Linked DNA regions of Schizosaccharomyces pombe. The protein of the gene in region 1 interacts with the protein of each later gene in a pairwise test. Each region holds a gene or a part of one and is shown on either strand. Other genes may lie near its edges. The genes, in order: gst1 and hom2.

Region 1 (15,596 bases):
TCCAAACTAGCAATGTTAGGTTTAGGGACGGTGGGATCGCCATGAAGACGAACCGGAGGTTCTATAATGAGTGTGTGATCGACAGGATTTTTCGTCATCATAAAAAAAAGTAAATATCAAAATTGAGGAAATATAAGAACTTGTAAAAACAATAAAACTGTATGGTAAACCTTACAATCCGTAAATAAGCTTTCAAAGGTATCACTAAAAACGATGAAGAACCTTTAGAAGAGAATGAAAGGTAAATATAAGGGGAAAGAAAAGAGCGCTAGAAAAAGAAAATAACGAGAAAAATAAAAGTAGGAGACGAGAAGTTCGTTTCCTTGTACTCTACGACCAAATGATTTCAACGAAAGTTATGAAACGAAAGACAGAACACAGTTTACAACTGATAAAAAGTGATTTAGTCTTTAAAATGCGAGGTAATAATCTAAACATTAGCAGACATTAGTAAGGAAGGAAAAAAGATAAAGAAATAAGGTGGAGGGGGAAAGGAAATCTCGTGTTTACGAACCTCACGTGGCCATCCCAAAGCGCAGTTCAAGCATAAGCAGCAGAGACAAAGCAATGAGAATTTAAGAGGCTCGATTTTAAGAGGACGATAGAGTTCAAATACGAATTCCACCGATAAGCAACTTACGAAAAATACAAAAGAAAGATTCGACAAAAATCCAAAATCCTTCAGAAAGTTTGTGTGGTTAGGTTTTTGAACAGACAACTAACTCGACGGTAAGTAGGAAATCGCTTAACGTTCGACGTCCGAGGAGTTAACTTTGCAGTTTCGAATGGGGTGTTTTTTTCTTCTTTTTTTTCGTTCTACACGGTCCAAATATCAATACAAAAGAAGCACTGAAAGAGAACACTAATCCGGGAATCCGCAGAATCCAAGTTTATCCAAAAAAGAAGGGATCTCACGATACAAGATCTGCTTTTTGATGCTACGAAAAAACGAGCAACTATCAAACTATGCAAGAATACAAGTAGACCTAATGGAAAACCCAAGGAGTAGGAAGCTTGACGATATGAGGTTAAGCCGCGAAAAGGACGAATCCGTTTATTGTAGCAATAGCAAGGAGATAGGATGCGTGGGCTTGGGAAGGCTGGTAGACGTGTGAGTGATGGTGGGGACACCCAACAACAATGGACTAGTGAGGAATTGTTACTACGCATTAAACGATAGCCAACGAAGTGAGTTACAATACACCGACAAACGAGTCATTAGCAAAAGTGACCATGCGATATTGGAAAAGTAAATAAACACCAACACAGAAATTTTTATTTGTAAAACAAATTACAGAATTGAATTTGAAAAGGTCGATTACCCTGGATTTGATACCAATATCGGGTACACTTAATAGAAAAGCAAGAATTGAATGGGTTCACAAATAGACGAGATGTCAGTCGGCCAAGTTTGGTCGTTTGGTTGTGTCGGGAAAGAATGGCAAGAAGAAAAATGTCGGGAAAAGATTAAAAAACAAAAATACAATGAGAAGAAAAGGGCCAATTGAGCGCGCAAATTTTTTTGGCACGTGGTCAAGTTTCCGACGGGCAAAAGCCAATGGAGGGGATGCGACAAACGGGAACACAAAAGAAAGGAAGTCAGGAATATGAAAGTAGGAATGGAAAAGTGGAAACGGAGGATGCTTGGCTTGGATTACTCTATGAGAACATGATAAGAATATGCTGCAAACGGAATGCATTTGAAAATGATATGTTGCTTATAATGAAAACTATATAGCGTAGATGGGGTATTTGTACAAACTTTACAAAATAGACATGATAGTTAAGAATAGATTATTTGTGTGGTTGAATTTTTTTTTTTTAAATGAACTCGTGTTTTCATTCTCTACGGATCTAATAGCGTATATGGTATTGTAGGACATTGGCTCAATAAGCGTGATAATTTAGTAGACGTCGCAATTCCTGGCAAAAACATTGATTCAATAAAGCTCCTATCATTCATTTCTCTAACTTTTCTCGTCTTTTCACTACTGTCGTTTTCTTTTCTATCACCTATCGATTAGAAGTGGTTAGAACGGCCAAAGCTTGTTTTCGGCGAATAAATTATTGTTTGCATGAGAATCGCGCAACATTTCTTAGTCAAGCATGGTCTTTTACAACATAAATATTTCGACATATATAGCATTTCTTCCCACCGCATGACCGACAGCTAGTGTTGACTGCTCATGGTCGGCTAATGCTGACTGTTCAATCTGGCAGCTAGATCCTTAATGGCAGTTCGAAAGGCTTCTTGAATGCTAAAATCGACGGCGACAAAACCTCCTGACATTCTGATAAATCCCTCAGTCATCACGTTTTGCAAGAATCCCTCAGAGTGTACGATCAAGCCGTCTGCATCTTCCATGCTACCACTACCGCCTTTGGTGAATCGAGGCTTCAAAGCGTCGCCCCATGCCTGTTTTCGGTACGACCTGACTTTTTCTGGATACATACGGCCATCGGTCGTGAAGCCGGCCAACGGTTTTCCTTGAGCGGCCATGTACCCAAGCTCCACTGCCGTGCCTGGATCCATGTCTGGGGCACGTCGAAATGGATCAAGGCAGAAAATCCCTCCATCGCAACGATCCATCAATTTCCGATCGAGTTCCGCAATCTTCAAACTCGTTTCCGCTCCAGGAGCCATCTCCTCCACACCTTCTTGGCCATCAAACGGTGCAACTCCTTGCACCCCTGCGTCCTTGCAGATTTCCTTGAGTTCATCAAACAGCTCAATGGCATTAGGCCTAAACACGAGGTCTCCTGCCAAGTACACACAGGGCACCTTGTGAGGTTGCGCTTTAGGGATACTGACCTTTGCCGTACCAGTCATTTTGCCAATATTCGTAGAACGAGTATACGAAAAAAAAAAAAAAAAAACAAAAAAAAGTATGACTATTCGAAAAATATCCTAAGCGTCGTTTTGTACGTTTCTAGAAATCAACGCTTGTAAACACAAAGACAAGATTTTAAAAGTAACCCTTGTGTAAAATATCAAGAAATACAAAGATATTACTTCTCAATATACGAATATATGGTAGTAAATTGTATTAAATTTCAATGTTGATACCAAAAACAAGGAAAAAGATTGCAATTTTCCTACGAATGTTATCTAACAAAGGGTGTTTGTTTTAAAATGATTTCATCTCTACTATTCTTATACTCAAACATTCTCGTTGTCTAGTTTATCAAGATAAGGCATTTTTCATCGGTCTGTCATATTTTTATACACCTTCCTTCCCTATCTATCCATTCCATCAGCCTTTGCTCCTATCTGGTAACAATAAGCTCAGACAATCTTTTTTATATCTGTATTTAGGGAAACATCTAAACTACCACGAATTTCCCAATTTACCGAAAGAAAAAAGAAATCGAAAAAATCAGGTAATGTAGGAAATGCTAGTTGGTTGGTAGTGAGTGTGTGTGTGTGTGTATCAGGTTTAGAGCAGCGGCTTGAAGCACTAGGCTGGGAAAGCGTTTCGTTTTATTTATTTTTACTTTTTTTGTTCGATTCTATTGGATTTATCTGAAATTTGTTTTTCAATGGGAAAGTCTTTTGTGATGGATTAAAATCTTTTTGGAGAAAATCACATTTTGCAGAAAAAAATTTCTAGATCCCATTCATTTTGTTGTGGTTGTATAAAAGACGAAACATATGAATGAACTATATTTACTAGATAAATGGGATTCTCATACTTTGATCTTACCAATTATTTTCTACTTTGTTTCATTGTCACACAGTGTCTGTCTATTACTATATGATTTAAGAAATCGTCGCTTAATAATGACAACACATAGACTAAACAAAACGATGTTCAGGTAAGTTCCTGTTTACTATTTCCATAATCCTATTTAATTGTTTTCTTTAAAATGTCACACTAACCTTGTATTCGCAGGATTAAGTAAAGTGCGATCAAATGCTTCTTTGAATTTTTCAACTACCAAAAAATATGCGCAGAACAAAGTGTACACACCAAAAGGTATTTACTAGAGTGTAATATCCAATGGTGTATTCCCATGTCTCATCTATTCATTCTCTCTTGCTCTGTCTACGATTTTTCATCTATCCTATTGCATCAATATTTCACCCAATTTTTCGTACTACGCTATGCATCCCCATCAATGCATCTTGACTGGCGATTTCCGTCTCTAAGAATCCATTCATATCCCAAAGACCAATCCACACATGCTTGGAAGATGCATTGCATGCCTACGGAAATCATTGCATATCAGCCAATTCCAGTTTTCCAACGATTACTGCACTCTAACGATATCTATTTTCCTTATTTTCAGACACGGTATACAACCTTAATTATGTTTAATACGGTCTGCTCGTCATCACCAAATCCTGTTTTTACTTTAACGAAGGTTATCGCACGCAAAAAAGGTAAACATTGGATTGGCTCGCCATGTCATTCCGCGGAGAGCTCATGAACCAATGAAATAAGGGCGAAAAAATAAATTTAAAGGTCGACTTCCACCGCATCCCAACTTACTCTCAACGTACATCTTCTCACTAACTTCGCTGTGAATTTGTGGTTTTTAAATCTTCTTCTCTACAAATACTAAACTCTTAAGCCTATTTCCTTTCCTTAGCAATTTATTAATTCAAAATGCCTTACGCTCCTGGAGACGAAAAGAAGGGTGCTTCCCTGTTCAAGACTCGTTGCGCTCAATGTCATACCGTTGAAAAAGGCGGCGCCAACAAGGTCGGTCCCAATTTGCACGGTGTATTTGGCCGTAAGACCGGTCAAGCTGAGGGTTTCTCTTACACCGAAGCCAATCGCGATAAGGGTATTACTTGGGATGAAGAAACTCTTTTCGCCTACCTCGAAAACCCCAAGAAGTATATCCCCGGTACTAAGATGGCCTTTGCTGGCTTCAAGAAACCGGCTGATCGTAACAACGTCATTACGTATTTGAAGAAGGCCACCTCTGAGTAAATGGGGTGATGGCCGTCAACGACAGTTGCAAGTGTTGGCGTAATGCCGTTGGGATATGCTTTATGAATTCGTAATTCCCAATTTGCTTTTGTGTCTGTCACGTTACTGATTGATTGATTGCGTTTACCAAAAAAAAATAAAACAACATGGAAACGAGCAGCATAGGAACATGAATTGTTTGATATAAATTCTTACTTTGGAATTGGTCTCCTTCTTTTCATTTATTCCTTTTCTATTCTCTTTTTCTATTAGACAACCTTTTTCAAAAAAAAAAAAAATTCCGCAATTCCTATACCGTGAACCAGTTTTTTTATTCGGAGTTCCCAAAAGCTTATTTCCTGGGCCCACCGGGTTCTTCCCCATCAACTCCCCTCTGCTTTTTGAATTTTTAGCTTCCTGCATATTTTGGTGTATCTTGGTCAATTCATTTGAGCAAGATTCAGTTTCGAATTGATTTTCATTGATGCCTATGCTTTCTGATGCTTTGCTTTTCTTTACTTAAGGTTTTTTGAGCTGATTGGTTTTCAGTGAGTTTGGGTTTGTTTGTTTTTCACCTTTCTCTACTCTATCGTATTCCCATTCACAACCATACTCCCCTCTCTTTTGTGGTCGATCAATTCCCATCCAGATCGTACACACAAACCAAAATTAATCATAGCTCTCTTTTTTAGCTAATTCTATGTTGTTTTTACAACTATGGATCTTTTATGATATTCAAGTTTTCATACCTTTCACCCTTTTCTTTTTTTTTTAATTAGTTTCAGTATATTGCAATTGACGGCTGCAGAGCCCTCTGAGATTGCTCTCCGGTAGTTCAATATTCAACGCGCATGCATAAGGTTTTAGTGTAAAGAATTGAGGACAGTCAAGTGTTGTGTATATTTGAAAATTAATTAATCTTTGTATGTAACTAGACTGTGCGTTTAAAAGTAGCAAGGAAACACTGCAGTTATTCGCAATGTAAACACTTGCCAATTGAAACTTATGTGATATACTTTACTAGCTCCTGTACTTGAAACAAAATATTAGACTTAGATTTAAAAAAAGAAAAAAAGTATGTTCTATATGAATTATCGACTGCTATAGGCAAAGTAAATGAGATTTACACTAGAGATGTCAATGCTGCGATTTTGAAATTAAAGAAATATCGGATATCAAACGAATACCATAAATTCATTTAGGGCGATATAATTCTTCTTTGTTATTCGTTTTTATATGTAAGCTACGCAGTTTGGTATCTGATTTAAGGATACGTAGAACTGCGGTGAGTTTTCCTTGTGATCTATTATATTACAATACACAGGTTGTATAAGTAGCAACTGAGTATAGGTATTGTATTAACTGGGTTATAATGTTACCTATCACTAATATAGCTCATAACTGAACTGAGGAACGAGGTTCAGCAGTAGCTCTATTTATAGTATTCAGATAATATTGATCTTAATAGATTATCATTAAGATCAATCTCCATATCGTATCATACATGGTACGATATATAATTAGAACATGTGACATATAGTGATACTCAACGTAGTGTATTATAGCGTAGTGTAGTATTGCTGACATTATACTGCAGGAACTATATATCACTGTGTTGTGCTGTATCTAATAAGGTTAGCCGCTAATCCTCTGTAAGTTGCAAATTCTCAGTTTTTGGCAAAAATTATTACAAAACGACACTGCCGCATGGACTGGGAGGAAGTGACCAAATTGGAAGAAAATGAGTACAAACGTGGTTATGATGAAGGAATTTTAAAGGGAATTGAGCAAGGGTATGAGGAAGCATTTTTGTTTGGACTCGAGCATGCTTATAACAAATATTTACTGGCGGGTGAAATTTATGGACGCGTGTGTTTTTGGTTGAAAGAAGAAAATTCACAACATCCTAAAATTAAAAAGGCACATAGGCATTTAGAACAGTTGAAATCGTTATTAGAGTCGTTGCCCACCAACAATGAACTGGAGGAGACCGATGCTGGGTTTGACTCTTACTGGAACAAAATTACAGCCAAAGCCAAAGTGGTATCGAGTCTTTTAGGAACTAAGATTCTTCCCGCTGAAAAAATTGATGCTAATGATGGCTTTGAGTAATGTCTTCAGAGCAAATATACTATGGAAGGTATTTAATATTCCTGAAAACATTCACTTTACATGATTGATTATGTTATATTTTAGCAGATTATATCTGATATCCTGGCATTTGTTCTTTTTCTTGACAATATCTCCCTTCGAAAGAAAGCTGCATGTAGTGAGTGAATAGTCGTTTTTTTTTTTGGCTAATTCATTCTGAATGGAATCAATTTCTTCATCCGTTATGGTTAGAAACGTTTTGGAAGCTAAATAAAACATTTTGTACATTAAGATGGAAATTAAAACCGCAAGATCTTTTTTCTTGTCAGCCAAGTTTTTCCAGTTAATGAGTACTAGCATCTGTCTCTTTTAACTCTAGTAGGTGTGTTTGACTGGATGGCATCCCCATAATATTGCTTTGTTCTTATGGCAATTTGATGATTTCATTAATGTTCGTAGAAAATAAAAGAAAAGGATCAAATATTAAACATCCGCTTTATGATTGCCATATGCGTTCATGAATTAGCACATTAGCTGCTGCTGTGTATATGATAATCCTATGTATAGACATTTCCCCGGCATAATTACTTGCTTGTCCAGTTTAATAAGTTTGTTGTACATTAGAACAAAAGTTTATAGACACAAAATAAAGACATCGTAACAAGTTAAACATCATTACAATTCCCCAGTTTACCATACAATTAATGATTTAAAAAATAAAAATAATAAATATTCATCGACTATATAGATACCAGGATAGCAATAAATAAAAAATTTTGTATGTGAAATGTGCAACTTTCTAAAAATGTATTATAAGCCTTGATTTTCGTTCACTAAAGATTTCGCGAAACAAAGCAAAAATAATCGTTACCGGCATTTGCCAATTTTGTAGGCCTATTTTTGACTTTTCTAACTGGTAAATTGCAGCTAGATAAGCTTCGATAAGGCCAAGGACAATGGCTATCAAATGTTGTTTCATCGTTTTATTCATTTCAGTTAACAGCAACCGTTACTACAATTCAAGTTTAAGAGATATCCATACTAAGAAGTTGTTTTTTTTAAGGTAGTTTTAATTAAAGGAAGTCCTAACAAAAAACGAAATAAAAAACAACGTTTATTTACGATTTAATAAAAACTGGTTGTTAAATAGTTTGCGACACCAAAATGGAAAGCAGTATTGTTATGTGACTGTGTTTTTTAGGCATTGTAACTCGCTAATTTGTTTAGTGCAATACGTTCATGTTCATTATACGCTATTGTTTTCATAAATAGGTATCATCTGTTTTTTAATAGTTTTTTTTTTTTGCTTGTTTCCTTGTTTAATATTTTGCTCTAATACTTTAAAATTGAAACTATCATGTACAAAATACAGGCGGCCTAGTTTGCTTTGTTACTAATTATCATATTCTTGAGCTTTATAAGAACACTCTTGAATTAAGCAAATTGGATAATTTAATATACAGCGACTGCTTATATTGATTTTCTCTTTGTTTTTTATATTAGGACCTTTCTAAATTCGATAATGAATCACTTCTTCATACCCTACATTATATTTGTGTTCATGAGTATTTGAATTCATCTTATTTACAATATTCAGAATAATTAAAATAAAAAATATAAGACAAGCCTGCCCAACATATAAAGAAAACAATATTTGATTATTATTTATTCGAGCTTTTGTTTTAGACATAATATTTATAATTTACTTAAAAATTTAATAAAATCATTGAACTTTTCTCAATAAATTGACGACATTATTTAAAAAAAAAAAATAAAAAAGGTCTTGTAGTATAAGAAAAATAAAAAGATAGTAACAATAAAAAAATAAAATAAAATTAGCGCCTCAAGTCATTTCGACATGATTACAGCTATCCCTTCTTTCATTTTATATTTTTTACTTTTGATGATTGGCTTTTCCAAACAATAAATACCAATTTTAGCAAGAGCAATACGATGGATGTTACATGGTCTGCTTTGTATATATTTTCGGAATGTATAGTAGAAAATCATAGTTTAAAGATGATATTATTGAAAGAGCACTTGAACAATTGATGTATGAAACGAAAAAGTTGAGTCTATATCTATATGCATAAAGGAAAGTAAACAATGCATGAATTTTGAAATATAAAGAATCAATCAATCAATTGAAATATTGGAACGTTATTATCAAGATAGACGCCACAAATTCACTTAATTATCCAAAGCCTTTGATCTTTCTTCGAAGGTAGCCTTGCTAGCAGGTCTGGCAAGAAGTCTTTGATGCCAGGAATAAGTTCTAGGAAACTCTTTTTCAAAGTCGAGCTGAGGCACTTCTTCCTCGATTGAAAACTTTCCTTCTGCAAAAATAATTTCAAGGAAGTTATTCCATGAAATGAATGATAAGTCAGCAATTGTGAACCGGTTGGCCACGAGATAATCACGGTCTTTAAGGATATCTTCGAGGACTCCTAGAACACGTTTGATTTCATTCCTATAACGGGTAATGGCAGATATGACTAGCTCCTGATGATAGACGCTAAACCATCCAGCCTGTCCCCAAATGATGCCTTGGCCAGAAGCTTGAAAAAATAAATATTGTATAACTTTGTAGTATTCAGGATGGTCACGAGGCAAAGATATCTTCCTTTCCGTATCATATTTGTCAGCTAAATAGATTAAAATGGCATCAGATTCCCAAATGGTATAATCGTTATTGTGGTGATCAATCAAGGTAGGTACTCTACCGTTAGGGTTTAAGGCTAAGTGTTCGGGGGATTTCTGCTCATTTTTTGAAAAATTCACATATCTGGTTTCATAGGTAAGGTCCAACTCCTTCAGCGCTTGAACCACCTTCCATGGATTAGGACCATGAGCATGCGACCATAAAGTGAATTGAGCCATGATACTTTATTTTGAGTGTGTTCTATTGTTAAATGAAAGGAGTTTGGCAATGGATTAAAATATAAAGAGCATCTTTACCATTTTATATACAATTCTTACTTCCATTGCGTATGCAATATTTATGAAAAATTTTGGAAAACACCCGAAATCGAGTTGATCAATTTCATCCAACTTACTAATCGATCATACATTAGACTCATACGTGGATTCAACTAAATTTTACTCGATTAGCTGACGACAAGCCGGAAGTTATGATTTATGTCAAAACGTGATCAAAGAAAGATAAATCTACTACCGATTCCATTTACTAATACATTTGAATCCTGTTAGCCGGTTACACGCTACATTTAATCAATCTTGTAATGCATCAAAATTTCATGTAAAATTTCTACCAACATATAGTGCGTGGGGACTGACTTCTCGTTTTGTTTAACTATGTATAATCCTTGTGGGAAATAAACGTATGCTTAGTGTTATATTTAATTTCTTAAAGGGTCGGCTTAATGCAATTCCAAATTCAAATGCAATTAAAACTGTTTCAGGTTCTTAAGACATGTAGTTTTCAGAATTTACGAGTCAGTTGAATAGACATCTTATGATAAAGTTAATATAAAAATAATAAAATAGTCTCAACCATACGCTCGAGATTTATTTTGTTCACCACCTGTTCAAAAACCAACGTGTCAAACTTGCTTTTAGACTACTGCACATATTAATTCAAACATGCTAGGGATTCACAATTGGATTTTCAACTGTAAAGATTAGTTATGACGGAGTTTTGTTTCTCACATATCAATTTAAAATTCTCTTCACTCTAATAATCTTATTTCGAAATCTACTTTATTTTTCATCATACAGTGAGTGTAATATGTTTAATTTCTGTAAGCGAATTGGTAATGATTCCCTATGAAAATTTTTTGTTTACATTTACTACCTTGACAATACGATACGTAAATTTTAAAGCTATTCAACATAACTGCAAACACGATGAGTAATTTTGCATTATAATCAGAAAAAGAGCAATGGAAACCAAAAAGCATACACCAACTTGATCAGAGTAAAGCAAGTACATGAACCAATACATGTTTATATCCGTTAAATACTATTTTTTTTCTTTTTAAAAGTATATAAAAATAACCTTTTTTGGATTATTCAATAAACGTCCAGCTTTTACGTCTTTCATTAATTGATTGAACTTTTAAAGTCGAAACCCGATAAATACAATCATGTCTAATAACGTTTATTCATCAAAAACTTTTATTCATTCAACAAGCTCAAAGCTCCATGTCCTTCAATTGACTATTCAATGTGATACATTGCAGCTTTTCCCATATTCTTACAACCCATCGGCTTAGTTTCAACGCATTTATCCAGGATCCTAGTCCGCGAAATCGAGATGCTTTGAAGATTAAAATTAAATTTAATTTTATGCGAGACTGGTTTCCTTATTTTTTGTATAGTCGCATGCAAGCGAGGTTCGCATAATTTGGAAAATAAAGGTAGTCAAGAAGACGTTGAATTAAGGCTGCAGTTTCAAAGTACTCTACAAACGATTCCTTTTAAAAAAAAAGATTCAAAAAAAAAGGCAAAGGGTTTAAGTAATGCTTGTTATTTCAATTTACCTCCAAACAGTTACTAATGCAATTGCAAAAAAAAAAACCTACCTATTGAATCAAAATTTCTAGCCCATCCATCGCTCCTCAAGATAAAGGAATCGATATTTTGAGTTTAAGGGAGTTGCTGATAGATTTCAGAATTAAAAATTTTTGGAAAAGGATGTCGAGAACAAGAAGATACGTCTAGATTGCTGATGATGCATTCTAGCAGACGGAAATACAACGATATGTGGACAGCACGACTTTTGATCCGTTCGGATCAAAAGGAAGAGAAATATCCATCTTTCAAGAAGAATGCAGGAAAAGCAATAAATGCCCATTTGATTCCTAAATTATCCCCAAAAATGAACATTATGAGATCTTCTTGTGGGAGACAGGAAATTTCGCAATTCCAAACGAAAATTCGGCTCTTTTTTTTACCCCACAGTTGCGGGGTAAATGATGTAACGGACCTTGGGGGAAAGGATGATGAGTTAGTTGGGAAGCGGAAAAAATGGAAAACGGAAGTAAGAATAGAAACCAGTATGGCTGAGTGCAATGGCGGAAAAGATTTTACAGAGATGACAAGAATCTATTTATCTATAAGGAAAAACTTTTTCCAAATTTGTCTAAAAACGCATTCTCCTCAATTGCCTCTAGGTAGATGATATAACGAATTGGAACGAGACATCGCTAACCGGTTTTCTTTGTAAATGACATTTTGTAGTGGGAGTAAGTTTGAATGGAGGGATAGACAGATGAATAGTATGAGATAGAAGAATAGTATATATAATGATTAAGATGAACAAATAAAAATTGAAAGAAAAAAGAAATTGTTGGCTCATTTGGTTCATACACATGTTGGTTCATACAACTTTTACCCATCGTAAGTATTATAAGTAAAAAATAGAGTACGAAAAGCTATAAGTAGTGAAGCAAAAAAATAGAAAAATAGAAAAAAAAATATATATAAAAAAATATAATAAAAATAAAACTCATAAGAGACGTAAAACACAAGAATTGTCTATCATTTGTTCTTTAAGAAGCACCACCATTCTGTAAAACTCTTCATTTCTCATTAGCAAGGACCCTTTTCATTCCTTCCTCTTTAGAATCCTTTTCATTATAACGAATTGGATAATACGCAAATAAGAACACATCCCCTAAATACGATATATCGATCCATTTTTTACTTTGCCTAGCTTATTGCTGTACAATTCCATTTAAATAGTTTCTCCTGTTAAACAGATTGAGTTTCATTGTTCTACTTTTACTTTCTCTTTTATTGGTTTTGACTGACGTCCCAAAACCTCGATTACTTTCATATCTGTCGGCATCATTCTCCTCAAGAAAGATCGTCAATGGAGGCGACAATATACCGGAATTTAAGTTGCGGACACAGAGCTTGAAAAGACTGCATTTTGTATTGTTTTCAAGTAAATGAAACTGAGTTTTGAAGTCTCAAAATACATCTTATGTATTGAACATTAGAAGAACATATAAGATAGATCTTGAGAGCTCAATTCATCGACATTCTAGCCATCATACTGCGATCTTAGACATTGTCAGCACAACCTTAGATCGAAAATGAACACGTTACCAAACGTTGTCTAAAACTTGCCGAATCTTATCTCCGCATTACTTCCGTAATCCTTAGTACATACGCTGCAATTTCGGAAGGTCATGATCGACTTTTTGTGTAGCTATAAGTGACGCAAATGAGAAACATGACAAGGTGCGATATTTAGCAAGATATTATGCATTTGATGGAGAAAGGAAATTTCGGATGTATATATAGTACCGTTAGCTGCGCTTTTTTTGGTCATCCATAATTTTCAAACTCACTGCTTTCGATCAGATTTACCGTTTTTAAGGTCTTTATTGCTTTGTGATCTGTAGGTTGGAACATCTATAGTTCATTTTCTAAAAGATCCTTTCATCGTTTCATCGGATAGTAATCGTTCAAGAAAAAAAAAGAAAAAAAGAAAAAGAAAAAGAAAAGAAAAATAAACCGCTATAATTCATTACCTATTTGACTGAAGGTTCTTCATCTTGAATTGTTTTGAATCAAAATAAAGAAATTATTATTATTATTTTTTTTCTTCGCTTTTTCTTTATCCATTCGTCGAAACTATTTTTCTGCTGATAAAAGCAATCATTCCTTTTTCCTGCTTCTCTTGTTATTCGAATTTTAAACGACTTTTTTTCCTCGTCCATTCCCTAATTCTTTGCGACCTTTTCTGATTCTATCCTTGGTTTGTACTTTCGTTGTGTAATTGTTGAGAAAGTGAACTGATTATTTAATTGTTGTGAAAAAAATTCTAAAACTATTTTGTTTTTCTTGATCATTCATCCTTTGCTCGCTTGCTTGAATATTACAGAAATTCGTCTCCCTTTCAACGGAATATGATAATTTGTTGAATACTCTAAATCAATTAACACCTATCAAAAGCTGAAACATTAAATCTATTCTCACCAAAAAAAAAGACTCAAGCTTCTTCGTTGTTGGCCGGTCTCTTTTTTGTTTTACGATTGTTAAATTTTATACTCACAACTGCCAATTCTCCACTTTTGACTATTTATTGATAGTCCCTATTTAATTTTCTGTTCACCGATTATCGTCTTTTTTGTAAATAATCTTTCTTGGAACCAACCAATTAATACGTTATAATCGCTAACTTTGAAGATTTGCTACAATGTTTTTGAAATATATTTTAGCTAGTGGCATTTGCCTCGTCTCTCTCTTATCATCTACAAACGCGGCTCCCCGTCACTTATATGTAAAACGTTATCCTGTCATTTATAATGCTTCCAACATCACTGAAGTCAGCAATTCTACCACCGTTCCTCCTCCTCCATTCGTAAATACAACGGCCCCTAATGGGACTTGTTTGGGTAACTATAACGAGTATCTTCCTTCAGGATATTACAATGCTACCGATCGTCCCAAAATTCATTTTACTCCTTCTTCCGGTTTCATGAATGATCCAAACGGATTGGTATATACTGGCGGCGTCTATCACATGTTCTTCCAATATTCACCAAAAACTCTAACAGCCGGCGAAGTTCATTGGGGTCACACAGTTTCCAAGGATTTAATCCATTGGGAGAATTATCCTATTGCCATCTACCCCGATGAACATGAAAACGGAGTTTTGTCCCTCCCATTTAGTGGCAGTGCAGTCGTCGATGTTCATAATTCTTCCGGTCTCTTTTCCAACGACACCATTCCGGAAGAGCGCATTGTTTTAATTTATACCGATCATTGGACTGGTGTTGCTGAGCGTCAGGCTATTGCGTATACCACTGATGGTGGATATACTTTCAAAAAATATTCAGGAAATCCCGTTCTTGACATTAATTCACTTCAATTCCGCGACCCCAAGGTAATATGGGATTTCGATGCTAATCGTTGGGTGATGATTGTAGCTATGTCTCAAAATTATGGAATTGCCTTTTATTCCTCCTATGACTTGATTCACTGGACCGAGTTATCTGTTTTCTCCACTTCTGGTTATTTGGGGTTGCAATATGAATGCCCTGGAATGGCTCGTGTGCCCGTTGAAGGCACCGATGAATACAAATGGGTACTCTTCATCTCCATCAATCCTGGCGCTCCATTGGGAGGATCCGTTGTCCAATACTTTGTTGGCGATTGGAATGGTACAAACTTCGTCCCCGATGATGGCCAAACTAGATTCGTAGACTTGGGTAAGGACTTTTACGCCAGCGCTTTGTATCACTCGTCTTCCGCCAATGCCGATGTTATTGGAGTTGGATGGGCTAGCAACTGGCAATACACCAACCAAGCTCCTACTCAAGTTTTCCGCAGTGCTATGACAGTTGCACGAAAATTCACTCTTCGCGACGTTCCTCAGAACCCCATGACCAACCTTACTTCTCTCATTCAAACCCCATTGAATGTTTCTCTCTTACGAGATGAAACACTATTTACCGCACCCGTTATCAATAGTTCAAGTAGTCTTTCGGGCTCTCCGATTACTCTTCCAAGCAATACCGCATTCGAGTTCAATGTCACACTCAGTATCAATTACACAGAAGGCTGCACAACAGGATATTGTCTGGGGCGTATTATCATTGATTCTGATGA
Region 2 (16,158 bases), 670 kb from region 1:
ACAAATCTCACAAAAGGTTTGGTAGATATTAGGACGTTGCCAAGGATATTGCTGCAATAAGGTTGAAATTAGTCGCTTTAACCGATCTGAATAAGGTGGAAAGGTTGGAAAAGCGTAACTAACATTCATAATAGCAGCAAGCCCTTGATGTTCAAACGGAGTTGTGTAATAGCATAGTTTATAGAACAAAACCCCTAGCGCCCAGATATCTAAAAGCTAGTGTTAACGAAATATATTCTAATAACGTTACAAAGAAACCATACCACTTTTCTCGTCTATCCCAAATCCTTTATGGACATTAATCATTTCAGGGCATCTATATTGCCAAGTAGTAAATTTTTCGATATCATATTCTAGCTGTTTGGCCTCAGCGGCCGTTTTAGCACCCGGTATTGGGTGACATGCACTACCAAAATCACACAGCTTGTACGAATTTGGGGCAGCTAGTAACACGTTTTCAATCTTGAGATCTCTATGAATTAACGGAGGCTTCAAGTAATGCATTACTGCAACCGCTTCAGTAACATCAGAAGCTATTTTCAAAATTTCTTGTTCTGATAAACGAACTTGAAGTCTAGTGTTCAGAAAGTCAATCAAGCCTCCACAAGGGCAATACTCCAATAGTACAAGGACCTCGAATTGATTTTTTGATGTCCTAAAAAATTCCGAGCCATAATATGAGACACACCGTTTTTGGTTGCTAACAAGTTTCTAAAGACAAGTCGTTAGTTTATAGTAAAAAATTGGAGAGCAACAAAATACAGGATAGAAGGACATACCATAGTCCGTACTTCTTCGTGCACAGCTCGAAGGGCCATAGCATCCGTTGCAAAGATACGTTTCAAAACTGCCTCAAACGGTGGCTTTCCTGGGAAGACCAATTGTACCAAATATACATGAGAGAAGCCGCCTAAAGATACGCTGTTAACATTTGGAAGCTGATGATTTTACATACCTTCAGCAAGGTATCGTTTTACTGTAACCGAAAACTTTTCCACCGTACAACTAAAACCAACAGGCAGAAGACCTGAAGGTAAAGAAGATACTGGAAGCAATGAAGTGTTGTTTGTTTCATTCATTGCAAAAGAAAGTCTGCTGCAACCAGATTTACTCAATGTAAATTTGGTGGTTTAGGAGCGGAACGTGGGTTAGGATATATAATATATAAGTGAAACAGGTGATATTCAATTATTGGCCTTTACTGAATTATTCCTTTGTATAAATTGATACATTCGATAGCCTTCATATGATAGAAAAAGAAATGCATCCAAGCGAGTTCGATTGCATTATTGACAGATGAAGCTGAGTTCAAAAAATAAATACTATGGAAGACAAGACTAGACAAGCATTATTTAAGTTAAAAATTATAGTTATGTTTTCATTTAAGTTTCTTAGTTCTCTCTTCTAATAGTGAATACATGATGGAGTAATTTGTTGCTTCAGGGACTGCAGAAAGACTTATAAAAGGCTGCATTACGGACCACTATGATAGCTAAAGGAAAATTTAAATAGACGAACTCCGTCAAATGTTAACTTAAAAATCTAGTAGTTCATTACATTAGCAAAATTCCTGTCCTTCAAATGCATTGACGACTAACTCCAATAAACACAGCTATCATCCATTGTGAGGATTGGAACAGAAGATACTACCATTAGATTATCTACTTTTAAACAATTAATCTTATGAATTGAAGTAAAGTAAGACAGACCTCCAACTCGCTATCGCTTATATCATAATTAGCATAATTAGATCGCATCGATCAGTTAATCGTGATTTTTCTAAAGTTTGAGGAAAAATAAACAAAAAAAAGTGAAATAATTACAATACATATGTTAAAGCGCATTTTCCCCAATAATGGCCCTACTTAACTTTTTTTGTGGCATCCATTAACAATTGCCTCTTAATATTAACCACGAGATCACAAGAATTAAACCGAGAATTCACGATACTTAAACATTGTTAAATGAAAATATAAATCCCTTGGAACCACTAAATTTACCTTTTTTGCAGATACCACTTGGTGTACTTATCTTAATAAGGGCAACTAGAACCAACATTCTATCTAAAGCAAAGTAACCAGAAAACATTCCTAAATTTTATACATGCTTTAAATTTCTTAATTTTGATATATATTTCGATATCAAGAATTTTGAATGCTTTAAAGTCGTTTGAAGGATATTGCCTTTTAATTTTTGCAAAAAAGAGTTTCCTAAGTCAATATATATATATATACATATATTCTTTCTTTTATGTAATTAATTTTAAAAATTATTTGAACATGAAATTCGGAAAGTAAGGATTTTTTGAAAGTTCTGAAGCTTACTAACTGTACAGGGTTATCGAAGGACAATCTGTTGCAGGTATGCTAGTTTGTAGTTGAAAAATAATTGACGTTCGGATATGCTAATTCGAGTAGAATGGGCTTCTGCTTATTTTGACTACAAAAAGGGGAAAAAAATAATCGCAGGCATTGCAAAGAATCCTTCTGAGGGTCTGTATGGTACTTCAGGGATTTTGGGAGAAACACCTGAAGAAGCCATTGTAAAGTAAGTTTTATTTAATTTGCACTATTGACTAATAAAACAGACGAGGTACGTTTTTTGACATCTCTAAAAAATGCATTTCTAACTGCTTTTGACCTAGGGCAAATTCATCGGTTTCATCCCCTTTTTCAAGAGTTTCTTGACCAACAAGCAAACAAGGTGGAAGAATTTTTTGAAAATTTGGTGTCTGATGCGCGAGAAAGAATGGATCTTATTAGCGATCAGGTCGATATATATGAAAAGCTTCGTGCATTCAAAAAGGGGACCCTTGAATCGGGATCTGTTGTATTAATACAGAAACAGCACTCTAAACTCAGACAAAGGCTTGATTCAATCCTCAATTTTTCTCGACTTCAACCTGCTTATCATATCCCAGCTAGGAAGAGTGTCCCAACTGATGCTTATACTCCGATGGTCAGTTATCGCAAACTGAAATCTAAATTGAAAACGGTATGCCTCAGTGCTTTTTTCCTTCATAGTATAGATGTTTGTAAATTTGCTAATTGTTTCAACTAGACATTGCTGGACTTTTATGATTATCTCAAATTGGTTTCTCAGTACCAGCATCTTAATCAACAAGCCTTTCGAAAGATTGTCAAAAAGTATGATAAAACATTACATACAGATCTTCAGGGCTTTTGGGTTGATTATATGAGCAGATATACGTTCACAGATTTCAGCATCACTACAAATTGGCAATTGCATGTTGAAGACATATATGCTCGTCTTTTTACCAATCATAACAAGAAGCTTGCTTTAGAGCATCTTAAGTCATTTCGTCAAAAAGAGGTAAGTATAATTCAGTTGCATCTGGACTTTACGTTATACTCTAATTACTAACTTGGGTTATTTAGCACTTTTCTGCAAACTCGATGCGATTTGGACTCTTGTTTGGTGCAGGTTTACCGTTGGCTATAGAGGCTGCTTGCTATTATAATGCTACTGAGCAATCCTCCTACCTTCTTCAGATATGGGGAGGTTTTTTTTTAGTAATTTTTGCGTTCGTACTGTTTGATTTAGACTGTTACGTGTGGGAGAAGACACGGGTTAACTACATGCTTATTTTCGAATTTAATCAAAGAAAATCTTTAAACTGGCGTCAGCATTTGGAGATCGTAGGAGCAGTCTTCTTTATTTTTTCGCTGTTCTTTTTCCTGTGTATGAGAAATTTCTTTCCTGGCTTCACAATATATTTTCCGGCCCTGTTTTTGGGAGTAGTGGGCACGTTTTTAATAGCCCCCGTCATTGTTCCCTATTGGAGAATGCGAAGATACTTGATAATTCAGCTTATCCGTGTGTTTTTATCTGGGCTTTCTACTGTCCATTTTCAGGATTTCTTTTTTGCTGATCAAATGGTTAGTCTAACTTATGCATGCGGTAATATATCTTTGTTCTTTTGCCTTTATAAGCGACTTTGGCGACAACCACAGCTTTGTAACTCATCACATTCTCCCTTGCTAGGTTTCTTTACCACATTGCCTGGCATCTTACGTGTTTTTCAATGTTTCCGAAGATATTCAGATTCGTTGAAAAGCTTTCCACATCTTGTGAATGCTCTAAAATATATTTTTAATATCCTCGCCCAAATGTTTTTAAGTCTGTGGAGGATTCATCCCGGCTTGAAATATCGGGTTTTGTATACTATTTTTGCTGGCGTAAATTCACTTTTTTCTTATACGTGGGATATTTTGATGGATTGGAACCTTTTGGTTCGAAAGGATGGTCGTTGGCAATTCCGTGAGCATCGAATTCTAAAACAGTTGTGGCCGTATATTATAGCTATGATCTTAAATTTTATCGTTAGAAGCTCTTTTATATTCTATTGCATATTTCCCAACCACATTCAGCACTCTTCAGGGATTAGTTTTTTTGTGACCCTTGCTGAGATCATGCGGCGTTGTATGTGGAACATCCTTCGTGTGGAGCACGAAGAAATCTATAATAGGGTAAGTTCGCTGGTTTGTGTTTACTTTTATTTATTTTTATTTGATTCAAATCGTCGCATACTAATTTCATTATAGGAAAATTTGCGGGCCGCTAGAGAACTTAAGCCTTTGGATTTTGTTAAGCCACATAGTGATGTCTTCGTTTCTCATCAAATATCTTCTGATAAGAATTATACAGATGATGAAGATTCGATGGATGATCAAACAGATGTGGATGAAGCTCAGTTTTCTTAGATAGAACGTGAAAGTACAAGTTATTTTTTTCTTTAGTTGTATTTTTTTTATTATTCTTATCGGTATTGGGTGTTTGCTCCGATGATATTAATGCTGTTTTATTGTGTTTTTATGCATTAAAAGTATTCCTCATTTGGAGTATGGTATCGCTGTTTTCTTCTGACAAATGCGAAGATATTTCTCAGAAGTTTCTACGAACCTCATTTTAATTTTATTATGACATATGGATATGAGAAGGGGGACTTTAGTGTTTACGAACAAATGTGATGAATGAAGCTTAATGATTTAATGAGTAAAATTATAATAATGATATTTATCTTTCACAAAATGAATGAATCCTTTTAAGTGTGCTGTAAATTTTAAGCGATGATCAAAGAAGTCAGTTAATTTACTCAGTCAGGAACAGAATGTGCGGTGAAATAGATTGATTCAATGCGTGTCTGGAGACAGAGAATCGGATTGATCATTAATGTCTTGATGTATCAACCAATGACCGGAATACTTAAAGTCCTTTAACTAATCTCAAATACATCTCATAGCTACTCGTAAAAAAATTGTTGCAATAATAATAGCCAAGTATACTTACGAGCTAATTTTTCATTATCAAAACAGAAAAGACCGGTCATATAAAAGTATTATCCATTGTTTATTAAATTGTCTTTCATCATTCTCAGTACTAAATCTAAATTGCAAAAGAATCAATGAGACTACATCCATCCTTTCTATATTTGCTTGACACTACTAAATTTACTTCCAAGTTATAATGGACGTAAAATGACTACATCTGATCAAGTCCCAGATTAACTGTTCCTTTACATTACTCTTATAGATTAGATAAAAGAAAGCTTATTTTAGAACTTGTATTTTACAACTAATTGTTTACTTCATCTGCCTTACTTTGGTACAAAACGGATGCTGCTTGTTTTGGCAATTTGTTTAAAGAATTCACTATTTTACGGTACGCGGAAATACTTTAGACTTCACTATCTCGATTAGAAAAGATCTGATGCGATACGATATAAGATATTTTTTTTTAAATTGCTTGTCAATGAAGGAATTTACCAAGAACACGTAACCTTCGTTTTCTTGATTAAAAACAATGGCTATAAAAAAAGTTGGAATCCTCGGTGCAACAGGTATGTTTAAATTTAGAATGGTAATGTTCTGTCAAAACTGCAAACGATTGCTCTATGTACATTAAAAAATGCATAAAGTTAAAGGATTGACTGTTACAAAATAATTTGTGTTTACTTTTTAGGTTCCTTGTTTAATTGGTCTACATTTTAATTGTACACTTTTTGAATTAAATTGCCTGGAAAGACTCACATTTTATCATTTTAATTCCATGTCTTTAGTACTATAAGTTTTTGATGAACATTAAATTTTCAGTTCCGTGTCACTGACTAGTGTTTTTGGATACACATGACTAACCATAAATAGGCACCGTTGGACAGCGTTTCATTACCCTCCTTTCCGATCATCCTGAGTTTAAGATCGCTGTTCTTGGCGCTTCTGCTCGTTCTGCGGGAAAACCATATGCAGTTGCTACTAAATGGAAACAATCTATTGCAATGCCTAAAGAGATTTCCCAAATGAGTGTAAAGGCTTGTGATCCCAAGGAGTTTTCGGAATGCGATATTGTGTTTAGCGGCTTAGATGCTGACTTTGCTGGCGAAATTGAAAAAAGTTTTCGTGATGCTAATTTAGTCATCGTTTCGAATGCTAAAAACTATCGTCGTGAGCCTACCGTGCCACTTGTTGTCCCCACCGTCAACACAGATCATTTGGACGTTATCAAGTACCAGCGTCAAGAAAACAAACTGGATCGTGGATGCATTATCACTAACTCTAACTGTTCTACTGCTGCTGTTGTAGTACCTTTGAAAGCTCTACAAGATGCTTTTGGTCCTATCGCTCAAACAAATGTAGTTAGTATGCAAGCTATTTCTGGTGCTGGATACCCTGGTGTTTCCAGTCTTGACATTTTGGATAACATCGTTCCATTTATTGGCGGTGAAGAAGAAAAAATTGAATGGGAGACACGTAAAATCTTGGGCTCTGTCAATAGCACAATTTCTGGATATGAGTTGACTGATAACGTTGTTTCTGCTCAGTGCAATCGTGTTCCTGTTATTGATGGCCATTTGATGTGTATTTCTGTGAAGTTTGCCAAGACCTCTCCTACTCCTGATCAAGTTCGCGAAGTATTGGCAAACTATGTTTCTGAACCTCAAAAGTTAGGCTGCTACAGTGCCCCTAAACAAGCCATTTATGTTTTCGATGATTCTACTCCTGACCGCCCTCAACCTAGACTCGATCGTAACAATGAAAATGGTTATGCAGTATCAGTTGGTCGTATCAGATCTGATTCCATCTTTGATATTAAATTTGTCTCCCTCGTCCATAACACAGTTTTGGGTGCTGCTGGTGCTGGTATTTTGAATGCTGAAGTTGCGGTGAAGAAGGGACTTATGTAAACAACGAATTTCCTGTTCTTGTTATAACTCTTCTCTCTCAAAATTTGCCACGGATTTTTCGATACCTTAAAAGTTGGAATTAGGTTTTGAATAAAGAAAAACTTTGTTAATATATTTCATTTTTGCTGTTATTTTACCTTGCCAGTGATATAATTAGAGGACTGCCTCTATTAATCAAGTTTCTTGTGCTTGCGAACCAAAACGGAAGCCTTCAAAAGATTTGTATTCCTTGTAATTGAATAATACTATCGATAATTCTAATATTTGAAGTAAGTCATTTTCTACTTTTTCCCATTTTAAATGAATAACGAATTTTAACACCAATTTGTAAAAATTTAGCGTAGATTAAAAAATTTTTTGAATATTTAACGCAAATTCAAATTCTACCATGTCTAGCTTAAGGAAATGTATAACAACTTGTAATTTAGGCATCTGGCCGTTTTTGACACTGGAAAAATTCAGTTCAATACCTATACTTTTATAAAACATTATGTCGAAGGCAAAGAGCCCTATAAAGTCTTCGAAAAGTAAGTGATAGGAATAATATCACTATTGTATGGTTTTTAACTCAATTGATTTTAGAATCGGTGAATCAACCGAAATCGGTTCTTCGTGAGAAGAAAGTCAAAGATGCTGAAAAAGCCGAGCATATATCATTACAAGGTCATGTAGATAACTCTGATGAAGAAGGACAAGATAAAGAGTTTTTTCCTGGTTTCGGTTCTTCAGATGATGATGAAGAAGACTCTCCAAATGCGCTAGTTAATACCTCAAGGCAAATTATGGATTTGGGCGAAGATGCTGAGAAAACCATAAAGAAAAAGGTTTCTGAAAATAAGAATCTTCAAAAGAAAAAAGGTGTTTTGTATGTTGGCCGACTTCCTCATGGATTTTATGAGAAACAGATGCGTATGTATTTTTCTCAATTTGGTCCTGTGCTACGTCTTCGCATGTCTCGCAATAGAAAGGTATGGTAACATTTATTATCTACAGCGGACTATTTTAGTTCTTCTTTTTATTTTCGACTGCTAACTTTTTGCATTAGACAGGAAGTAGTAAGCATTATGCTTTCATCGAGTTTGAATCGTTAGACGTTGCCAATGTCGTTGCTGAGACAATGCATAATTATCTTTTATATGGAAAGCTTTTACAATGTAAGGTTATTCCTGAAGACCAGGTTCATGAAAACATGTTTAAAGGCGCCGACGTTCCTTTTAAACGCATCCCTCATGCCACAATAGCGCGTCTTCAGCATGAAAAACCATTAAGCAAGGAGAAAGCGGATAAGTTAATTACTCGCCATAATCGGAAGCTTAAACTCAAAAAGCGCAAGCTCAAAGAATTGGGGATTACTTTGGAATCGGATGTATCTCATCCCAAGGCGGCTAGTCCAGTTGCTTCGAAAAAATCTAGCAAAAAGAAGAACAAAAAGGTTTTGGCTGCTCACAAATAAATAAATACGGGGTTTTAGAGTAATAACAATAATATTTGGAATATCTTATTATTATGCATAATAGAATTGTGAATAACGTATACTAAGATTAATATTTTTACAATATTCCTTTTGTTGTCTTTTTCTAGTAAAGTATTTTTTAATTTAAAATAACTATGCTTCTCATTTTGTTTGCATTCTTTTCATGGCAGCTGCAGCCCTTTTTTCACGTTCAATTCGCATTCTCATTTCTGGACTTAATGATTGCAATTCGTCAACTTTTCGAACATTATTAATTCCTAATGAATGACCTTCGCCGTGCAGTTTATCATAATCCCTTTTCGATTGTTCTTCAATTTTCTGCATCGCTTCCTTCCGTCTAAGTTCTTCTTGCCTCTCTTTATCCCTTCTTTGATTTTCTAATTTGGTCTTTGCCTTTTGGCGTTGTTTCTGAATTTGTTCTCTAGACTGAGGAGCCCCAACTTTAGCTGCTTCCCAGTCGAAAAATGACTCTCCCAACTCATGCCTTGCAATTAGAAACTCATCTTTAACCTCTTTGTTTCCAGTACTAATCTCAAAAGGTGTCTTTCCGTTCCCATTTAGCATTGCTGGATCAGCACCATTACGGAGAAGTTTAGCGACTAATTTAGCATTTTTTTGGGTAACTGCGTAATGCAACGGTGTAGATGTGTGCAAATGAACATTTTTAGGATAAAATTGAAAATTTATAGACAAATCATTAGAGCGCAAATATTCCAAAAATGCTTCAATATTAGACGCTTTCAAATTGGAGATAATTACTTCGGTATATTTAGCAAGCTTTTTCTTTTTCCTCTCTTCCTCTTGTAATCTGCTTTGTCTAATTTCCTTTTCAATTTCGGCTTGTCTCTTTCGTTCTTCTTCTTGAGCTTTTATCGAAATTGAATCAACGTGACTAATTTTCGGAGTAACCAACTCTTTGTAACAACGAAGTAATTCTGAATGTGTGGCTCGTTTAGTAGTAAATGGAAATACGCGGAGTTTTGGATCTTTTGGAGAAATAAGAGCACCTGGTTGAGAGAAGAAAATTGAACGATTAGATGAACCGATTGCACGTACAAAGATTAAATCGCATGTTTCTAATAATTTTCCCCAGTCTTTAAAAACTTGCTGAATATCTTTAATAAGAGCTTGTTCGTTATAACGTCGCAAACCACTACCTGCCGAGTGAATGTTCCCTTTAGTATTGTCAGCAGCCCCTTGAGAACCACCTTGCTTCCTTCTAGTTGTATATCTGTGAATAGTTTTCTGTGCTAGTACTTTGGGTACATGGGGATCACGAGGATTAAACTCATTAGAAGCAATCATAGCAGCAAAATGACCGCCTCCAACCATAAACATAGCTAGTTGAAGTGGCTTTTGTCGGTTATGATTTTGTTGTTGAACAAGTAAATCTTTAGTGATATGGTTATTACCGGAAAACATGTGTTTATATACACCAATATAGGTTGGCACTTCGGCAGAAGCATTACTCAATTGAAACCACGTTAATGGTGAGTTTGTTCGCTGATTGTTGTTTTCGTCAGCGGAGTCAACTTTTCCTATGTTCAAGGATTGTTTAAAAGCCTTCTCTATTTGGAAATTATCTTCTTCGGATTCTGAGTTTGTCTCGCTTTCACTGCCAGACAGTGATTCTGGTAAATCTTCAATTATGCTTTCAAATTCGTCTTGAGAAACCGGAGGCAATTTTGTAATTTTTCGCTTCGTATTGAACCTATGCCAGTCAGATTTAATATGACTTTTTCTTTCGTCCAGAGTATGCAGATTGTCAATCTGGCAATTGACACATGATGATATATTTTTCTGAGTGGAATCAACAATATCGCCTTGGTTTGACAAATTAGCACTATCAGTTTTTTCCTCAACTGAGTATTCCTCTCGTAGTTCTAGTTTTGCTAAGATATCCTCAGGAAGGGAAAAAATATTGTGCTTCGAAATATCACCCATGTTTCGAAGAAGACAAGTAATTAGCAAGATCTAAAAATAATGTAAGCATTACAAAATATGCAATAATTTTCAGTAGAATTTCAATCTAGCAATTAGCGTACTTATACTCAAAAACGAACTTTAATAAGGATTAAGTAATTTGACCACAAGATGCAGGTAGTTTGCTTTTAATTTACAATTTTTTCTTGAAATTAAAAGAAGAAAAAGGTTATTTTCATGTAAATTAAGACTTTAAAGCCTTTTGGCCACAAAAATGAATTAAAAAAAAATAAGGCTGTAGACAATATAGGTAAGAGGATTAATTAGGTAAGAGCAAACAGTCAATCAAAAATCAAATTTATGTAATTTTTTTACTTAGTGGTATATACTTGCGTTTATTATTTAACTAATATAGTCCAAAATTTAATATTTGAGAAAAAGCTGTCGTTAACAGTGAAAAATCTATGAATTTTAAATTGAATGTAAATATAAAATCGAAAATAACATTTGTATAATGTTGGTGATTGTAATAATATTTATTTAAATTAATAGTGCAAAAATTATGCTACTGCTTTAGCTAATTCAAAACTATATTAGATGCAGTCGCAATTTGTATATATTCCTTTTCGTATTAAAAAATAAATACCAAAAATTAATTCGTCACTTGAAATTTGACTGAGCATGATTGTTTAATATTATTTTTGTAAAAAAAAAAAAAAAAAAAAAAAAAAAAATTTTATTATCTTGAGAATAATATGCCTTCAAGCAAACCACCAAATTTAAGACATCAAATTGAGGAAAGAATTTTACGTATGTATATATAATAAATTTTTTAAGAAAAAGGAATTTTAATCTTTGCAGTGAATACTAATAATTATTTAGATGATATAATCCACATATTTTGCAGGTATTGTTTCGCATATGCTCACGCTACTAATTTATGAATCAATGGGAGATAGCGGGAAATATGAAGTGCGAATTAGTTTAAAAAAAGAGAAGATTTAATTCAGTGTTCAAGGCGTTGATGAATGCAACAAACCAGTATAATTTCCTAAAATCAGTAGCAATATCGGACGTATCAGAGATAGACCATGTGAATTTGAGGCGACAAACCACCCGTTTAATTTCAACGTAAAAATCCCTATAACTTCAAACATCGTTTGCAATGTTCTGTTTAATCATTGTAAACTTTACTGTGGATTACTTTATCAAGTGACATTGACATTGTAATCTCGCATAAATTTTTTAACATTTACCTAGCCGACGAATTTAAGGAACATGTCCTTTTCCATAAAAAAAGTTTAAAAGAACCCGAAATAGGAATATTTTGATTCAGCATCAACGGTTTTTACTCAGGGAAGTTCAATATTTAGGATTCCCTTATTATACTTACTTTACTTGAGGGATTCGTTGTCAAATAATAATTCTTTCTCGACCGTTTCTATTTGGGAAATATTAACAAAAGCACTAACACATTTCAAACATATAGCTCTCGATTTAAAAAAAAAACTACTTCAATTAATTTATATTTATATTCATCCAGTAAAAAACTTGATACTTGGTACAATGCTGAAATGATTCCATTACAACTAAACTGGATGAATCCCTTTTAGATTGAGAACGGAGAGACCTGTCTGTATATTCCAGCGTCCTTTAATTAAGTAGATAATTAAGTGCAAGCAATTTTTTCAATCTGCTGTAAAGCACTATTTACATTAATTTTAAAAATTGACAAATGGAAAGTATCGAAGCATTTGCAAGCATGCAAATGCGATCGATTTAAACTAATATAAGTCAAGTTTATGAAGAATAATTTATACATAATAGCGAAATTAATGATTAAAAGAGATAATGAATAACTTTCTCAATTGAAACGCTTAGTTTTGTGAAATTCAGAAAAACAGAAATTTAATTCTACCAACTTAGTTTTTTTTCTTGGAGGTGCTTTAGTATTATACCTTTGAGTCATTTCCGTTGAATTCATTTAATTTGCAAAAGATAGGAAGAATCACTAATGTAGACAAATCAATTCCATTAGTAATGAATTCGATTCGATGCAACCACCATAAATGCCATTCTTCATTCATCAATATTTTTTAACTAATTTCTATAAAAGTCCAGAATAAGGAATCCATATTTTTCTTGTTATACTCTTACCGTAAATTTCGTTACTACCACCTCCCTTTGAATACCGGATAAATCATTGCGTTCGCGCCTAGATCTGTTGCGCAATTTAGGGGATCTAATTTGCAATCGGGTCTAGTACTGTATTCTTGATTTCTTCAACTTAACAAAAACTTACCTTCATTAAAAGAAGAATATTTTAGTTGGTTCATTGTACGTTATTTTAATGAAGCAATAAAAGATTTAATCACTTAATTCAACACTCACTTTACATTTGACTAACATATACAAGTAAAAACCAATTACAAAGGATTTAGGGAAGTTTTCAAGATTTCTCGTCTAAAAGATTTTTTTTCAATACTTGAGTAGTTTTTTCTTGAAGAAACTCTTTATTATTCGTGCGTTGAAAAACTTTTTAGGTATTTAGCTTTACTAGTGTCTTACCTATCTATCCGATTTTTTAACTCATTTTCCGTGTAAACTCATTCCTTTTGCTGCTTCCTTAATCCGCATTTGAGGAGGTTAAACATTGTAATTCTTACTTTTGAATTACTACTTATTTAATTTATCATATATAAACTTTTTTTGGTGTTAGAATTTTGAAAATGTCTTTTACTACTTTATATTCAGCTATTCAAGGTGATGCTAGTGCGAGAGCCTTGGTAGCCCCTTCTTTAAATGCAGAACTATCATTCAGTGAGCTTCGAATTGCTATTATGGATCTTCAGCGCCAAATTGCCAGCCTTGGCATAAAAGTTGGAGACCCTGTAAACATTGCTATTCCCAATGGCTTGGAATTCGTCGTAGCTTTTTACGCTGTTTCTTGGCAAAGAGCTATTTGTGGGCCCCTGAACTCCAACTACAAGCAATCCGAGTTTGAGTTTTACATTGATGATCTGAAAAGTAAACTCGTCATTGTTCCCGAAGGCTCCGTTGCCGCAAATACCCCTGCTGTTCGTGCTGCTAAGAAATTGTCTGTCGCAGTGGCCGAACTTGCTTGGTGTCCCAAGTCTCGATTAGTTCGCATTGTTCACTTTGAAGGAGCCAAAATTAATGCTCCTCAACCACTTGGTCTTCCTCAACCCGACGACGTTATGCTTGTCCTACATACTAGTGGTACCACTGGACGCCCTAAAGTCGTTCCTTTGACTCACAAAAACTTGTGCCGTAGCATCCATAACATTACTACCTCTTATAGATTGGATCCAAGAGATACTTCTTACGTTGTCATGCCTTTGTTTCACGTTCACGGTCTTCTTTGTGGCCTCCTTTCTACTTTAGCTTCTGGTGGATGTGCCGTTGTACCTCCCAAATTCTCTGCTCACAGCTTCTGGAAGGAGTTTATTCAGTATGGTGCTACTTGGTATACTGCGGTCCCCACTATTCATCAAATCCTTCTCCGTACTCCTCCTCCCAAACCTCTTCCTCGAATTCGTTTCATTCGTTCTTGCTCTTCTCCCTTGGCACCACCAGTCTTAAGCAAACTAGAGGCTACCTTCCGTGCTCCTGTCCTTGAGGCATATGCTATGACCGAAGCTTCTCATCAAATGACTACCAATCCCTTACCTCCTTTGGTACACAAACCTCATTCAGTTGGTAAGCCTTTTGGAGTTGAACTCAAAATTTTGGACCAGAAAGGTAACGAAATGCCCCAAGGAAAAGAGGGAGAAATTTGTGTTCGCGGAATCAACGTTACCAAGGGTTATTTGAACAATCCTGCTGCGAATAAGTCATCCTTTACCAAAGATCGTTTTTTCCGTACTGGTGACGAGGGCAAACTTGATAAAGACGGTTACGTTTTTATTACTGGTCGCATCAAGGAGCTTGTTAATCGTGGTGGTGAAAAGATTTCTCCAGCTGAGATTGACGCTGTTTTAATGCAACATCCTGATGTTTCCGAAGCTGTTTGTTTTGCTGTTCCTGACGAAAAATACGGACAAGACATCCAAGCAGCTATTAACCCTGTTGCTGGAAAAACAGTAACCCCCAAGCAGTTACATGACTATTTAGAACAGAAGGTTGCTGCTTTTAAAATCCCTAAAAAGTTTTACTTTACTGATCGTATCCCTAAAACTGCTACTGGAAAAGTGCAACGTCGTTTGGTCTGCGACGCCTTTTTCAATCACTCCAAGGCCAAACTCTAAGAGTATCTGGTACTCAATATTTTGCTTCTTTACCCCAAAACTCGCTAATTTGTCTATTTTAGTTACGAGTTTATAAAGCACACGATGAAATTTTGTTATTAACTGTATCGAATTCAATACTTAGAATAAACTATTTTAGATCACATTAGAAAAGTATTTCCATCTTATCTTATATACTGCTGTAGATTTAAATGAAAAAATAATAATGAGTTTTAAGTCTTTGTAGCGTTCAACAATTTTTTTATGGTCAGCATAAAAATCGTATGTATTGTAATTTAGCTAAAATGTGTATGTGTCCACTGCACCACAAACCGGAACTTCGCAAAACCGTAACACAACCTAAGGAAATTGACAATTATGGGAGAAGAAGGTATTAAGATAAATGATACTCACAAAAGAAGAATAGATGAAGTGGAACCATCTGAAAAAGAAGATAATGTAGAAAGACAGACGAAGAAGTATAATTTCGAGATTGATGAACCTGAAGAACAAGAAAAGAAAGATGAGAAGGAAGATGATAAAGAGGAAAGCCCTTCTAAATCTTTGGAAGAGATATCTCAATCAGTTTCACCTGTAGAGGAGGAGCCTCGTGATGTTCGGTTTAAAGAGCTGTCCACTCCTTTTAGTTACCCTATCAATGATCCTCCTGAGGGTCGTCCTGTTCGAGTTTACGCCGATGGAGTTTTTGACTTGTTTCATATTGGGCATATGAGACAACTAGAACAGGCCAAAAAAGTATTTCCTAATGTGCATCTTATTGTTGGTCTTCCCAACGATCAATTGACTCATCGCCTTAAAGGATTAACAGTGATGAATGACAAGGAACGAGCTGAAGCCCTTCGACATTGTAAGTGGGTTGACGAGGTCTTAGAAAATGCACCTTGGGTAATTACCCCAGAATTTTTGGAAGAACACAAGATTGATTTTGTCGCCCACGACGACATTCCATATGCTAGCGATGATTCCGGAGATATCTATCTTCCGGTTAAGAAGGTTGGTAAATTTATTCCTACAAAGCGTACAGAGGGTGTTTCTACATCCGATCTCATTACTCGAATTATTCGGGACTATGATCAATATGTGATGCGAAACCTTGCTCGCGGTGTAAACCGAAAGGAATTAAACGTTTCGTTGTTTAAGAAGAATGAACTTGATCTTAGACACCACATTAAGGTTCTTCGTGATACATTGAGAAATCACTGGGTTTCTACAACTCGTGATCTGAAGGCTGATATCAAATCATTTTTGTCAATGGCGACTACCGATTATCAATTGCAGAAGAATCCTCTGCA

What was found.
Region 2: the proteins of gst1 (region 1) and hom2 interact in a two-hybrid assay, tested with the Schizosaccharomyces pombe proteins (one large-scale study listed by BioGRID).

What each region holds. Positions count from the first base shown.
Region 1 is NC_003421.2:1,710,125-1,725,720, forward strand, and holds gst1 (glutathione S-transferase Gst1), read right to left. Parts: upstream 9,947-15,596; 5' UTR 9,891-9,946; coding exon 9,201-9,890; 3' UTR 9,019-9,200; downstream 1-9,018. Other genes in the region: acs1 (acetyl-CoA ligase), read right to left, coding at 1-98; SPOM_SPCC191.03C (uncharacterized protein), read right to left, coding at 817-1,170; SPOM_SPCC191.04C (uncharacterized protein), read right to left, coding at 1,398-1,700; SPOM_SPCC191.05C (nucleoside 2-deoxyribosyltransferase), read right to left, coding at 2,195-2,830; SPOM_SPCC191.06 (uncharacterized protein), read left to right, coding at 4,015-4,431; cyc1 (cytochrome c), read left to right, coding at 4,611-4,940; ribosome biogenesis protein Lto1, read left to right, coding at 6,627-7,031; SPOM_SPCC191.10 (uncharacterized protein), read left to right, coding at 11,704-12,153; external invertase, beta-fructofuranosidase Inv1, read left to right, coding at 14,182-15,596. UniProt on the Schizosaccharomyces pombe protein: Involved in the oxidative stress response and detoxification.
Region 2 is NC_003421.2:2,377,193-2,393,350, reverse strand, and holds hom2 (aspartate semialdehyde dehydrogenase), read left to right. Parts: upstream 1-5,787; 5' UTR 5,788-5,823; coding exon 5,824-5,860; intron 5,861-6,062; exon of another isoform or gene 6,063-6,164; coding exon 6,165-7,201; 3' UTR 7,202-7,332; downstream 7,333-16,158. Other genes in the region: Ark1/Prk1 family protein kinase Ppk38, read right to left, coding at 1-209, 264-711, 780-910, 956-1,079; spx2 (SPX/EXS domain-containing protein), read left to right, coding at 2,280-2,293, 2,336-2,361, 2,418-2,547, 2,588-2,592, 2,645-2,994, 3,061-3,333, 3,399-4,490, 4,566-4,724; SPOM_SPCC1827.05C (RNA-binding protein NIFK), read left to right, coding at 7,692-7,728, 7,784-8,169, 8,247-8,654; protein Vms1, read right to left, coding at 8,817-10,619; pcs60 (acetyl-CoA ligase), read left to right, coding at 13,328-14,866; pcy1 (cholinephosphate cytidylyltransferase), read left to right, coding at 15,224-16,158. UniProt on the Schizosaccharomyces pombe protein: Catalyzes the NADPH-dependent formation of L-aspartate 4-semialdehyde (L-ASA) by the reductive dephosphorylation of 4-phospho-L-aspartate.